2 linked regions of the Canis lupus familiaris genome follow. The protein of the gene in region 1 purifies or fractionates together with the protein of each later gene. This does not show direct contact. Links are inferred from orthologs where the notes say so. Each region holds a gene or a part of one and is shown in the gene's direction. Other genes may lie near its edges.

Region 1 (6,525 bases):
AATATGCCAGAGGGGCGCCTAGCTGCCTCAGTCAGTCTTTGCTTCAGGTCATGATCCTGGGGTCTTGAGATGGAGCCCCACATCAGGGTCCTTGCTTGGCAGGGGAGCCTGCTTCTCCCTCTCCCTCTGCCTGCCGCTCCCCCTGCTTGCACGTGCTCTCTCGCTCTCAAATAAATAAAAATAAAAATAAAATAAAGAGAATAAGCCAGAGAGCTTTAGTATGATTAGAAGCGAGGAAGAAAAAACTGGCCAGAAGAGCTGGGGGCTCCATGTAACTGGATCCTCAGCTGGATTGGATGCATCGATTCCTTCCAAACAAGAGCCTCCGTTGCTGGGTGCCAGGGTGCAACAGCACCACCTAGTGAGGCTGTGGAGATGAGCTGGTAGCGGGCACAGAAAGGAACAGTGGTGACCAATCTGAACAAAGCAACAGGTGCTGGGAAGGTGCAGGGGACCGGGGTGGATGGGGGGTGGGGTGGGGAGGGTGGTATAGAGTAGGGGCCCAGCATCCAGTGCCAGGTCATTGACAGATCTGCTGAGAACTGAGAGTAAGGAGGCATTGTCAGAGGAAGGCAGGGAGGAGAGCTTGCCAGCAGAGGGACTGCTCCATGAGCCTGGGGCACGGAGAGGTAATGTGGTTGGAGGGGTGCTGGGGGCCATGACAAGTGATGGGCTTGGAGAGGAAGAGCCTCAGAGCCCTGTGGAGGGCGTCTAGCCATGGGGAGCTACTGCAGTGTTAGAAGCAGGGGAGTGACATGACCAGATCTGTGGTTTATGAGTAGGTTCGGAGGGTAGCAGCAGGGAAGCCTGTTGGATTCCTATTGCAGTCATCCATACTGCAAGATGCTGAGTAGCCAAGGGGATGGAGAGAAATGGATTGAGAGGTTTGAAGGCTATTTAATAGGTAGAACTTTCAAGATGTGGTGAGTGGATGGTTGGAAAAGAAAGAGAGGCAAAAGTCCAAGATGGTACCTGGGACCCTAGGCTTGGGTGGCTTGGGTAGATGGTGATACCATCCACTGTGGGGTAGCAGGTTCAGGGGAAGCAATTAGGGTGCGGTAGGTATGAGGTGCCTGTGGGACACCCACACGGAGAATCCAGAAGGCAATTGGACATATAGGTCTGAAGTGGACAAGGACAAATTTGAATGGTATGTGAAGCGAGGAGAGTGACTGGGGGTGCCTGAGGAGAGGCCTCAGCTAGTGACCAGGTCAAAACCCTAAGCTACAACATTTAAGGGACAAAATACAAAACAACACACACACACACAACCCCCCCCCCCGCAAAAAAAAAAAAAAAAAAAAAAAAAAAACCTCACAAATGAGTTCTGAGAAAGAGGGGCTTAGGGAGCTTAGGAGGAAAAAAAGCTGAAGGCATAGGAAAAGAGGAATCAGTATTTTTTGTGCTGTTGAGAGGTCAAGTAAGGTAGGGTGGGGGGTGATGGTCTTGGTGAGAAGAGTTCCAAAGGAGAGACCAAGGCTACCTGCAGGGTAAAAGAGGTAAGTAGCCAGCAGCTACACCCAGTTCCTAAATAACACAAATCCCAACCTGCCATTTAACAACAAACTTCTGATGGTTCAAAGGCCTATACATAAAAAAAAAAAAACAAACGAACAAACAAACACACGCAAAAAAACCATAAAAGCATCAGGAAAGACCATCCTTGTGTGTAACAATATGGGCCAGGGATATTAAATTATGTCCATTTCACCGGTGTCCAGCGAGGAGATGGGCCTAGAGCCCCGTGAGAACACAGATGTAGACACAGATTTGAGAGCGATGGGCCAAAGTGGGGTAGAATCTGTCCATTTTAGGAAAGAGCTGCTCTGGCCATTGCTCTTCAAGGGCAAGGCCCAAACTCCATCCGTTCATCTCTGTATGTGGCCACACAAAAATTCAGCGGGGTCATTGAAAAGATCAACTTGGCTTGACTCGCGAATCGGGGGGCATCCCATCCAGCAAGCAGAGAGGTGCTCCCAGGACCCTAAGTGGAAGGGTCTTCATAGGAGGGAGGGTGGGGCCAGGGAGGGGTCAGTGACACAAGAGAAAGGACCTGGGGTGGAAGGCGGTGGTGGGGGGGGGGTCCTACTCTGGGCATCATCTCCTCTTCCTCTTCCTTTGGTGCGGGCGGGGAGAGGAGGGGTCCCCGTGACAGGTGCCCTCATGGGTGCCCTGGCTGACCCGTTCTGACCACGCTTCTGGGGGAGGGGGGGCTGGGGCTCCATCTTGGGCGTGGGGTTTCCTTTATCACAGCGCCGGGGATCAGGCATTGGATGGAACAGCGCGTGTCTGCGGAAGGGCCGGGGGCAGCGGCGAGGGAGATCCGGGGAGGGTGGAGGCACAGGGCGAGCCCGCGTGCGGGGCGGGGTGGAGGCCAGGTAGGGGGCCCGCGGTGCAGGGCTCGGCTCCCGGGCGGGAACGCTGCGGGCTGGGGGGTCCCCCGAGGCCCTGCCCTTCCAGCCGGCTTCCTGTGCCGCAGGGAAAAACCCCGCAGCCGCCCGGCGGGGAACGTGGGAGGGGGGGCGGGGTCTCAGCGCCTCCGAGGTCCGCCCCGCAGCAGCACCTCCCGCCCGCGCCCGGCGGTCGCCTAGGAGACCAGCCCCGCTTCCGGCAGAGCCGGCACGTCCTCCGAGGCCACGCCCCTTTCCTCCGAGGCCACGCCCCTTTCCCCGCGGGCGGGCGCTGATTGGCCCGTTTGAAATGCGCCGCGCGCGAGCTCACCTGGGCTCCCGGAGCGCCGCGCCTGGGCCGCCGGGTCCCGCTTCCCGCGGTCCGCCGCCCCCGCCGCCCCCGCCGCCCCCGCCGCCGCCGCCCCCGCCGCCCCGCAGAGCCCGGCGCCCGCCGCCATGAAGCCAGCGTGAGTACCGGCCGCGTCCCCTCGGTCTGCACCGGCCGCCGGCCCCGGAGGGGGAGCCCCCCGCGTGGGCGCGGCGCCCGGGCCGCGGCGGCCCCTCCCCGGGGGCTCTGTGCCGGGTGGGGCCCCGCGACGGGGGCGCCGCGGAGGTGCGGGCGCGGGGGCGGGGGCGGGGGCGCGGGGGGCCCTGGCGCCCTCCAGGTCGAGGCAGGCCGAGCCCCGGGAGCGCGCCGGGCGCCGGGCCGCGTGACAGCCCCGCCCCGCAGGCCCCGCAGGCCCGCAGGCCGCGGCCCCACCGCCCGGGAAGCAGCGCCCGCTGCGGCAGAGCAGCTGGTTATCCTAGGGGCCCGAGTAAAGACCTTCTAGCTTAAAAAAAATATATATATATACACACATATATATATATTATATATATACACACACACATATATATACACACACGTATATGTATACATGTATATATGTATATATATGGGATATGTATATATACATATATATGTGTATGTATATATATTGAGTTTATGTATAATATACATGTATATATGTATGTGTATATATATTGAGTTTATATAGAGTATATATGTATTATTTATGTATATATGTATATGTATATATGGGATATATATATGCATATATGTGTATATGTATATATATGGGATATGTATGTGTCTATATATGTGTATGTGTATATATACATACTGAGTTTATATATATTGAGTTTATGTATAATATGTATATATACACATATGTATATATGGGATATGTATGTATATATACATGTATGTGTATGTGTACATATATATTGAGTTTACATATGTATAATATATGTACATGTATGTATGTGTATATATATTGAGTTTATATAGAGTATATATATGTATTGTATATGCATATATGGGATATGTATATGCATATATATGTATATGTGTATATATAGGGGATATGTATGTATATATACATATATATGTGTATGTGTATATATATTGAGTTTATATATATCGAGCTTATGTATAATACATATATGTATATATGGGATATGTATATGCATATATATGTAAATATGTATATATGGGATATGTATATATACATATATATGTGTATGTGCATATGTATATATATATTGAGTTTAGGAGACCCACTATAATATTTTGTATTGGAAACGCTAATTGGCTTGCTTGTTTGGTCTCGAAACGTGTCGTGAAAATACTTGATTTTCTATGCAGTCTCTGCGGCGCTTAATTTTACTGTTAAATGTTCATCTGCACTATTGATTTCTTAACCGGTCGGGGCTGGCGGTGTGGAGGAAAGCCGACAGCCTGATTGATGAAGCCCCAAAATAGCTTCTGATTGTAAGAGGGCAAGAAATGGCAGTGGGAAGACCCAGTTGTGTTCGAGGACAAAGGATGATGGCTTAGAGAACTCCGATAATTTGTTCCTTGAATGTGTAGATGTACATCTTGCTGAAAGAATGGATTTCTTTTTTTTTTTTTAATCATTTCGTGAAGTTGATCACCTGTCAGCCTGCCTTAGCGATGGATGTTGGGGCAGTGTGTGCGCTGGTGTGCCTGTAGGTCTTGAGGATAAACCAGGTCTCAGTTATCTATGGATTTTTCGAATCTGTAGTGCTTCTGTAAAATTGTCGTCCAAGAAAATATGCAAGCTAGTTTAAATATAGAAAATTATCTAGTACCGAAGACGTCTCCTGAACCCAATTTGCCATACTTTTGCATTAGGTGAGCCACATACATTCTTTTTTTTTTCCCCCACAAACATTCTTCTAATGCAGCTTATTTTTAACGTTATTTGGGGTGTCATGTTTTAGAACTGCTCAGGGATAACTTTATAAACCCAAGGAAGACTGTCTCTGAATTATAGGTGAGGTTTTTGTATGTTATTTTGAACTGATTTTTTTTTTTTTTTTAACCTGTGACCAGGAGGACTAAGACGCCCAGGAAACTTCTAGTGAAGAAAGGATCCCAAACAAGTCTTAAAGACCCAGTGGGGGTAAGGTCTCCCTGTGAATTTGTGTGTGTGTGTGTGTGTGTTTTCTTCTGTCCTCTTCTGTCTTCTGTGTATGCTTGGAAGGGATGGAGCTGTGGAAGCAGAGTCAGAGAACATTAGTTAAATGGGTAAGTCTGGTCCCAGCTTTAAAGTTTTGTTTCTATATAGGATTCATTAGTAAAATGAAGTGTTTGGGTATGTCAGTTGCATAACTCCTATAACTAACTATAACTTGAAAAGTTAGATAATGAAAGATATTCTTCAGCTGTCCCGGAGAATTCTTCTACTCTCTTGGAAGGCAGGGAAATTTCTGCTTGGATGAGCATCCTCTCCCATCTTTGGGGCTTTTAAATAGTGACTGATGGTATGCTCCGTAAAGACACTGGTGTAGAACAGCTTAATTCAGTCTAGTAACTCATCATAACTGCATGTACTTCATGAGTTTCAGGCTTTGGGACTTTCTTTTAAAGACAAATGGCAAATAAAAGAAGGTTGTTTTGCCCTGGGATATTTTTCTCTCTCCTTCACTGGCACCAGAATGTGTCTCTTGTTCTAGGTGGGGGGAAACTGATGCTTTGCATTTTCAGCTGAATAGTTCTTCCTCGACCCTATCACTGATTAAGAAGATGTGTTTCAGATGATGTGCTTACTCATTTGTATATTATACTTATTTGTATATATGTTACATTTGTTGGTATATAGTGTTAAGCTGTCAAGTTTTATTTGATATCCAATATCAACAAATTCTAACAGCTTTTCAGATAATTCTCATTGTGTGATATGTTATCAATTTTAGAGATTTTTATATTAGTGGTAATATAAATTTACTCAATTTGTGCCAGTATAATAGTGATTTGATGCTTTTGTCATCCAAATTTATTTTCATTGTAAGTGTATTTAAAGCTCCTCATACCTGATAGATCTGTTTATAGCTGACAATGTCTGGTAGCAAGTTTTGGTTTTCATAGCTCTAAGTTCATATAAATCTCTTATGCTGAGAGACCAAATGTTGGATGAGTGAATGAGAAGCTTAAATGCAAAGTAGTCAACCTTCATTCTGGAAGCACATTCCTGTAATTTCAGGTGTACTGTAGGGTGCGCCCACTGAGCCTTCCTGATCAAGAGTGCTGCATAGAAGTGATCAATAATACAACCGTTCAGCTTCATACTCCTGAGGGTTACAGGCTCAACCGAAATGGAGATTATAAGGAGGTAATTCCCATTGGAACCAAGCTGTTTTTACTTGAGATGTTCTCTCCTGAAATGGCTTTTCCATTTTTTTTTTAACATTTAACACAATTCACATTTCTACTTTTTTTTGAAAAATTTGTTTACTTCCCTCTAACCTCTATATATAAAGTGTGGATAGGCTTATGTTTGGTATTCTTTGAGTTAGGGGATTGCTTATATGAGGCAGTTTCTTGTACTGGATATTTATTGTTTTTTAGAGCATAGGTTTGGGATCTTGAATGATTGTGCTAGGTCGCTATACATACAGACACACACACAATTTCATGTGCAGATTAAAATAGCAATAGGCGTTTTGTATTTGTTTTGACCTCCTTTGAAGTGTTGTTTAATAAAATCTTGAGCAAAGTGAGTTTAGTTCAGTTCAAACATTGCACTAAAGCTGCAGGGCAGAAGGAGATTTTCAAAAACGAGTAGGACAC
Region 2 (6,833 bases), on another chromosome or scaffold:
GTTTCATGTTGGAGAAATCTTTTTATTTATGGGCTTTAAGTTAAAAAGCAGAGATTTTTAATATAATTTTTATATAGTTTTGGAGCTTTCATTTGTGTTTGAAGCATAAAACAGTGAAACAGGGTACACTGAGAAATATAGTATTTTGTTTCATAAATGCAAAATTTAGTTTATCTGTAAAGTATTTCACAGAATGGAAATATTTTTAAATTTATCAATTTTGAATGAACTTTCAAGAAATCAAAAAAATGATCAGTGGTATGATTTAGTAGTTGCCTAAACTGTTACTTTTTACAGATATTTTGGTTTTATTGAAATTCACTTACTTCTCAACTGCTATGACTATATACAAAGTTAAATTTTTTCACTATCTGTATTTTAAGTTTCTGGCAATTATTTTGTTTTATGATTATTACTTAAAATAATTTATTGTATGATGAAACACTCTAGATATCCAATATTCTAACCCCAGACAAAATTAGTATGTCCCTTTCCTTTTCCGTTTGATCTTATTTGTAATATAAGTGGCATTCATTCATTCAAATAATGATGTAACTTACATTGACAAGTCTCTGCCTCTATGAAGCCTGCATTCTGGGGGAATATAAACAGAGGATGGCTTTCAAAAATAAACTTTTTAGACCTAACACAGTATCAGTGCCAGGTAGACGCTGTTAGGTGCTTCCAGCTGCTTCTGTTTTTCATTATATTACTCCTTCCACTGAAAAATAAATCCAAGCCCAGCAGATCAATCTCCATCTACTTGGAAAAACTGGAATCTGCTCTGAGAAAACTATTATGTTGGTTATGTTGGAATGCAACAAAATATAATACCTCTATATGCCACATATAAAAAAAATTCCTACCTCAAATACAATAATAAGTACTATGGCACTTTATAAACCACTTTGAGATTCCAAACCACTGTGTGAGGTAGTCAGGGAGATACCATCATTAGGGGGCTAAGAGGAGGAGCTGCACATTTATGATTTAATCTCAGCTCTGTGACCCTCAAAAAACACCTTAACCTCTCTATTGATATGTAAAATGTTAATGCTCAAAATTACTTCATATGATTGCTGTGAGGATTAAAAATAGATTTAAAATATTTAGTACAGTGTTTGCCATTACAAACAACAAATGGTGACTATTTTTTTTATGAGTGATATTATCCTTCGTCTGATTTTACAGATAAAGAAAATGAAGATTAGGAAGGTTGAGGCCTAAGGATTCACAGCCATAAAACGGACAGGCAACACTTTGAACCCTAATCTTCTCACTCCAAAATCCTTCCTTCAGTTTTATGACAGTGGAAAGTAAGATGGATCAAGGCAGATGGAAAGTAAACTTGGATCAGTCAGAATATTAACAACTCCAGTAAGTTTATTTCAGCTGAAGCTTATAAGGTTATCACCTGACCCATCTACCATTATCAAATATTCTTATATTATGAAACAAGTATGTTATCATATGCTTCTATAGCATCTTCCTTAAAAAATAACAAACCCTATTTCCTGTTTTTCCTCCCCTTGGTTCCTTTATTTTAGGCTTCGCCTTACTTTAAGTCTAACTTGATCTCTAACTATTTGCTACAAAAAAGTTTCCGAAAGTCTTCCACAAACATTTTGTTATTTACTCTGAAACGGAGTACACAGAGCAAGGTCGGCACTACACTCGGTTTACACATGAGATAACAAACTTAGCAAGGTTAAATGCCTTAGATCCAGGTCACAAAAGTAGTCAGGCTTTCTGACTCTAAACCCTAGTGCTAAGATTATTATTGTCTGGGATTTTTAAAAAAATACTTTATTTATTTGTTCGTTCGAGAGAGAGAGAAAGAGAGAGAGAGAGAGAGAGAGAGGCAGAGACCCAGGCAGAGGGAGAAGCAGGCTCCACGCAGGGAGCGCAATGCGGGACTCGATCCCGGGTCTCCAGGGTCACGCCCTGGGCTGAAGGCAGGCGCTAAAGCGCTGGGCCGCCCAGGGATCCCCTCGTCTAGGATTCTTAAAGAAAAGCTAGGTGGTTAAGTTACTGCTCAACACACTAACTTAAGTATGAAAAGTTATCACCTTAAAAAGTTGAAAACGCAGCAAGGGACTGGAACTCTGGTTAACACTGTCATTTTTAAGTAACAGGGTCTGGTCCCGAAGAGATGTGTAAGACAGGGCTCGAACACCGAAAAGCGGGGTTTCCTGGCAAACCCAAGCCTGGTAGAAGCGCCGCACTGCTTGGCCGACTCCACACCAAACGCGGGCCTCCCACGTGTCTTTCAGGAAATGCACAGAACACGCGGGATGAGGGAGGCCAAGGACGGGCTGGGAGACGTACAAACAGCATATAGGGCTTTCCCGGGTGACTGAGGACGCGCGGAGGCTGGGGCGGGCCCAAGGGAACTCGCTGAGCACCTGGCGGGCACCGACGTCCGGAAGCAGCCTGGGGGAGGCTTTCACCGCGGGAGAGGGCTGGCCGCGGGCCCCGCCCTCGGGAGCTCCCCAGTGGATTTGCCTGCTCTGGTTCGAGAGGGCTGGGGGAGGCGAGAGCGCGCCACAGGGACGCAGAAAGTCCGCGTACAGCGCCAGGCGGGCACGGGTCAGAGTCCGAGTTTCGCGGGTCTGGGGCCTGACCGCAGCCGCGAGGCCTCCAGGCCGCCGTAGCCCCGCCCCCTCGCGCGTGGCGCCCATGACGCTGGGCGCGCGGGCCGCGCTCCTTACAGAGCTCGCTCTCACCGAACGGTCGGCCTTGCTGCGCCTGCGTGATCGGGAGGGGAAGTGAGGCGGTTTCTTCGGCGCCTTTTCCGGCGGCGGCGGCGGCGGCAGCGGCAGAGCTGGGAGGAGGCGGTGGAGGCCAGAGGGAGCCCGCGCTCAGGGCGGCGGCTTGAGGTAACCTCGCGAACTGAGCTGGAAGGACGAGTCACCTGGGCCTCCGCTCCCTTCTGGCCTGCCGGCAGTAACTCCCTTCTTCCTCTCTGTGTCTCTGCAGGCGGCGCACCGGATCCCGGCGAGGATCAATGACCTGACGAGGCGCCGGAGCCGCGCTGACTCTCGGGTGGCCTGGGTCGGTGGTGAGCCCGGTGCTCGTGGACCGGCGGGTGGGCCGGAGGGCTTCGACCTCCCGCGGCCGAGTGAAGAGAAGGCGGAGGAGCGGGAACCGCGGCGGCGCTAGCGCGGCGCTTGCGGGGGGAAGGGCAGTTCCGGGCCGGGCCGCGCCTCAGCAGGGCGGCGGCTCTCCCGGCGCAGACTCAGGGCCCCGGCGGCGGCGGCGGCTGGAGGAATCAAGTTGTGCGGTCGGTGATGCCCGAGTGAGTGGCGAGCCTGGGCCTCTGCCCCGAGGAGGCAACTCCCACGCAGGCCGCACGGGCGCCCTCGCGGCCGGGAGGCTTCGTTTCGGTTTCGCGGCGGCTGCGGCGTAGTTGGCTGAGGGGACCCGGGACACCTGAATGCCCCCGGCCCCGGCTCCTCCGACGCGATGGGGAAGGTGCTATCCAAGATCTTCGGGAACAAGGAAATGCGGATCCTCATGTTGGGCCTGGACGCGGCCGGCAAGACAACAATCCTGTACAAGTTGAAGCTGGGCCAGTCGGTGACCACCATTCCCACAGTGGGTTTCAACGTGGAGACCGTGACTTACAAAAACGTCAAGTTCAACGTATGGGATGTGGGCGGCCAGGACAAGATCCGGCCGCTCTGGCGGCATTACTACACCGGGACCCAGGGTCTGATCTTCGTAGTGGACTGCGCCGACCGCGACCGCATCGACGAGGCCCGCCAGGAGCTGCACCGCATTATCAATGACCGGGAGATGAGGGACGCCATAATCCTCATCTTCGCCAACAAACAGGACCTGCCTGATGCCATGAAACCCCACGAGATCCAGGAGAAACTGGGCCTGACCCGGATTCGGGACAGGAACTGGTATGTGCAGCCCTCCTGTGCCACCTCAGGGGATGGACTCTATGAGGGGCTCACATGGTTAACCTCTAACTACAAATCCTAATGAGCATTCTCCACCTATCCCCCGGAAGGAGAGAAATCAGAAACCCATTCATAGGATTATCGCCACCATCACCTCTTTCAATTGCCACTTTCTCTTCTTTTGAATTTGAACTCTGGAGTTACTGTTCTACGGTTGGGGAGGGGGGGGGGGTTTAGGGGTTTCCTTTTTTGTTTCTCTTTCTCCCCCCCCCCCCCCTTTTTTTTTGCTTTGCATTAGGATGCTCCGATCTGACATTTGACATGACCACAAAGTGCTAGATGCTCTTACTGACTTCCAGCAAATGGGATGGGGGAAATATAGCAGTTTTTGGTAAAGTCCTTTATAATAATGGTTTGATTTTTTTATTTCGAGAGAATCTTTTTTGCAATGTATGCTTTTTTCCTTTTTGCCCAGTTTCCTTATCACTTGCTGTAGATGGCTTATTTTGCATTCATGCAGACTATGTTGCAAGTCTGTTTCATCTAGTAAACTGAAAATTATTGCTTAATCAAACTGCCGTTTGTCTTTTATATTTAAGGCCTTTACTCCTCCCTTATGAGTTTTACCTTTAACTTAGTAATTTCAAATGTGACCTTTTATATCTAAGACCAGTATAGTAAACTTAGCCTACAGTGGCAAATAATGAGTAATATCATTGTAATATGTTCCAGTTGCACATCAGTATGTTAAACAGGTAATGTAAGAAGTTCTTTGAAATGTCAGCTATTAAGTTCTGAAACATACATCATGCATGAGTAGGGCTAAAACGCAAGTTCCTTATTACATAGCTAACTTACACTGCATAAAAAGATGAAAGTGTAACCCGTCAACAGATTTTTTTTCACTGCAAAAGTTAGCAACTTTGCTGTGTTTCCCTCTTTTTTAACTTTAAAAGTAGACTCTTTCCAGAAAATGGAGCAATAATGGTGTAGGCCACACACAGATGAGATATCTGTAGATATTTTCAGTGACATTGGGGCAAAACTGGAATATATACTTTTACCACATTTCAAATGTCTAAGACCAATACTTTAAAAGTTACTAGAATGTTTACTTTGTTCATTAATAAAAGCGTTTAACAATTCAAATTATACACATTTTCTACCTAGTTGAAAGAATACACATTCCTGTTTTCACATTAGAGCAACTGATTAAGCTGAAGATAGAAGTTTTTTTATAATTGAGTGATCCACATCTCCATTAATTAGAACACTGGAAAAGATGTTTTATAAAAAAGGTATTTAATTCTGTTTGATTGTAGGATTAACTCATACAAATAGATCTCCTGTTGGTTCATTAATACACTATCTCCTTTAAGGAAGGAAATGTGATGAATGAATGATGTGTAGACTTGAGAAATGACAATTAAAGGGGAAGTAGGATGAAGAAAGAACCTACAGATGACAATGAATGTAAACTTATTTTTCTTCAAGGGTAAGCAGTGTGCTCACTGGTGATATCCAGATCCTAGCAAGATTACTTGCTTAGCTTGTTAGGACCCGTAACTAGCTTATCGAGACCACTATGATGATACCTTGAACCAAATGTTAATGCTTGATACAGAATTGTGAGCAGCATCTGGTTCTCATATAGCCTTAAGGATTAATTTTAGAGATCCTCAAGGAATTAAACGTAGGGAATTTAAGAAATGTAGACTGCAAAGGCAGTATACAGGAAAAGGTGGAGTGGGTTTTGTTCAGGAGGGTGTCTGAAAACTAAAATGGAGCGGGATATCATGGTACATAGTTGGACAGTATTGGTCCTTCGTGCTTTGGCCATATTGTATAATGGAGCTTTTACCAAAGATGTATGAGAAGCATAAGGTATAAAAAGTTAACTATTGAAAGTAAAACTCTGACACATTTTACTTAAAGCAGATGAGAAAAGGTGCTATGTTGTAGGCTCCTGATGGTGCAGAGGGATTTTTTAATACAAAATGCAACTAAGGTATAGAGTTCTCAGTTTTGCTTTAGAAGTATTTCTAGAAATGAAGCTGACAGACCCATCCGAGAACATTTTAGTTGCTTTTAAATTTCCCAAAGCTCCACCATAAATCTAATTCTTAGTGTTTTAAATGATTGCATTTTAAGGTACATAAACATGGGTTATACAAATATCAATGCTATAGTAACATCTTTAGACAAGACAAGCACAAAGGTATAAATGCCTAAACTGGAGGAAACTTGAAACCCTCATCTTAATTCCTAAATGTAGTATTTCTAACTTGTGACAGATTGATAGGCAGCCATTTTTTTGTGTTTTAAAATAACTGGGAGCATAGTTAAAATTTTATACATCAAGTGATTGCTATTGAATGTTGCAGGTGAGATGTGGTTATTTTTAGTTTATTTGAAATGTCTAACTGAAGGGGGGTGGGGGGAGCAAATATTTGAAATTTGGAAAACCCTAAACTTTTGGTAAGAATTTGTAATATTCATTTACATTTTCTTTAAGGATATACAAGGTTGGTAATTGATGTAGTTAAATTGAACCATAACCATTGGTGGTCATGGGGCAGGTAATTGTAGCCTGCAGAAAAAGTTATAATCTAGGAATTTAAAAAATAAGATCCTGAAGTTTTTGTTTAATTGCATCAATTTCTGTGTTTATGTGAATTTATAAACTGCAGTAAGTTTTGAATGAGGTTAATCTTGTCTAATATAAGTAAATGAGTCTGTAGACTTGTGATCTCCCCAAACTAAAAAAGTACAGTACTTGGAATTGTGTTCTTTATGGTTGTAGTGTTGGTAAAGCACTAATATGCAGAAAATAAAGGAATTACACAGTGCAGTTTCTCACGTTATGTTACTCGTTTGGACTAGATTAAGTGGGACATGTGTGTTGGGCCGTTATTCTCCAGG

What was found.
Region 2: the proteins of KIF23 (region 1) and ARF6 purify together in Homo sapiens (affinity purification with western blotting; 3 studies listed by BioGRID and IntAct, with this or other methods). This does not show direct contact. The link is inferred for Canis lupus familiaris from reciprocal best matches to the Homo sapiens genes KIF23 and ARF6.

Annotation. Positions count from the first base shown.
Region 1 is NC_049251.1:33,742,092-33,748,616, forward strand, and holds the start of KIF23 (kinesin-like protein KIF23), read left to right. Parts: upstream 1-2,804; 5' UTR 2,805-2,846; coding exon 2,847-2,857; intron 2,858-4,788; coding exon 4,789-4,858; intron 4,859-5,938; coding exon 5,939-6,067; intron 6,068-6,525.
Region 2 is NC_049229.1:26,666,719-26,673,551, forward strand, and holds ARF6 (ADP-ribosylation factor 6), read left to right. Parts: upstream 1-2,717; 5' UTR 2,718-2,879; exon of another isoform or gene 2,880-2,979; 5' UTR 2,980-3,465; coding exon 3,466-3,993; 3' UTR 3,994-6,762; downstream 6,763-6,833. Other genes in the region: uncharacterized protein LOC119876490, read right to left, coding at 2,070-2,681. UniProt on the Homo sapiens protein: GTP-binding protein involved in protein trafficking that regulates endocytic recycling and cytoskeleton remodeling. GTP-bound form plays an important role in the transport of multiple palmitoylated proteins form the Golgi to the plasma membrane.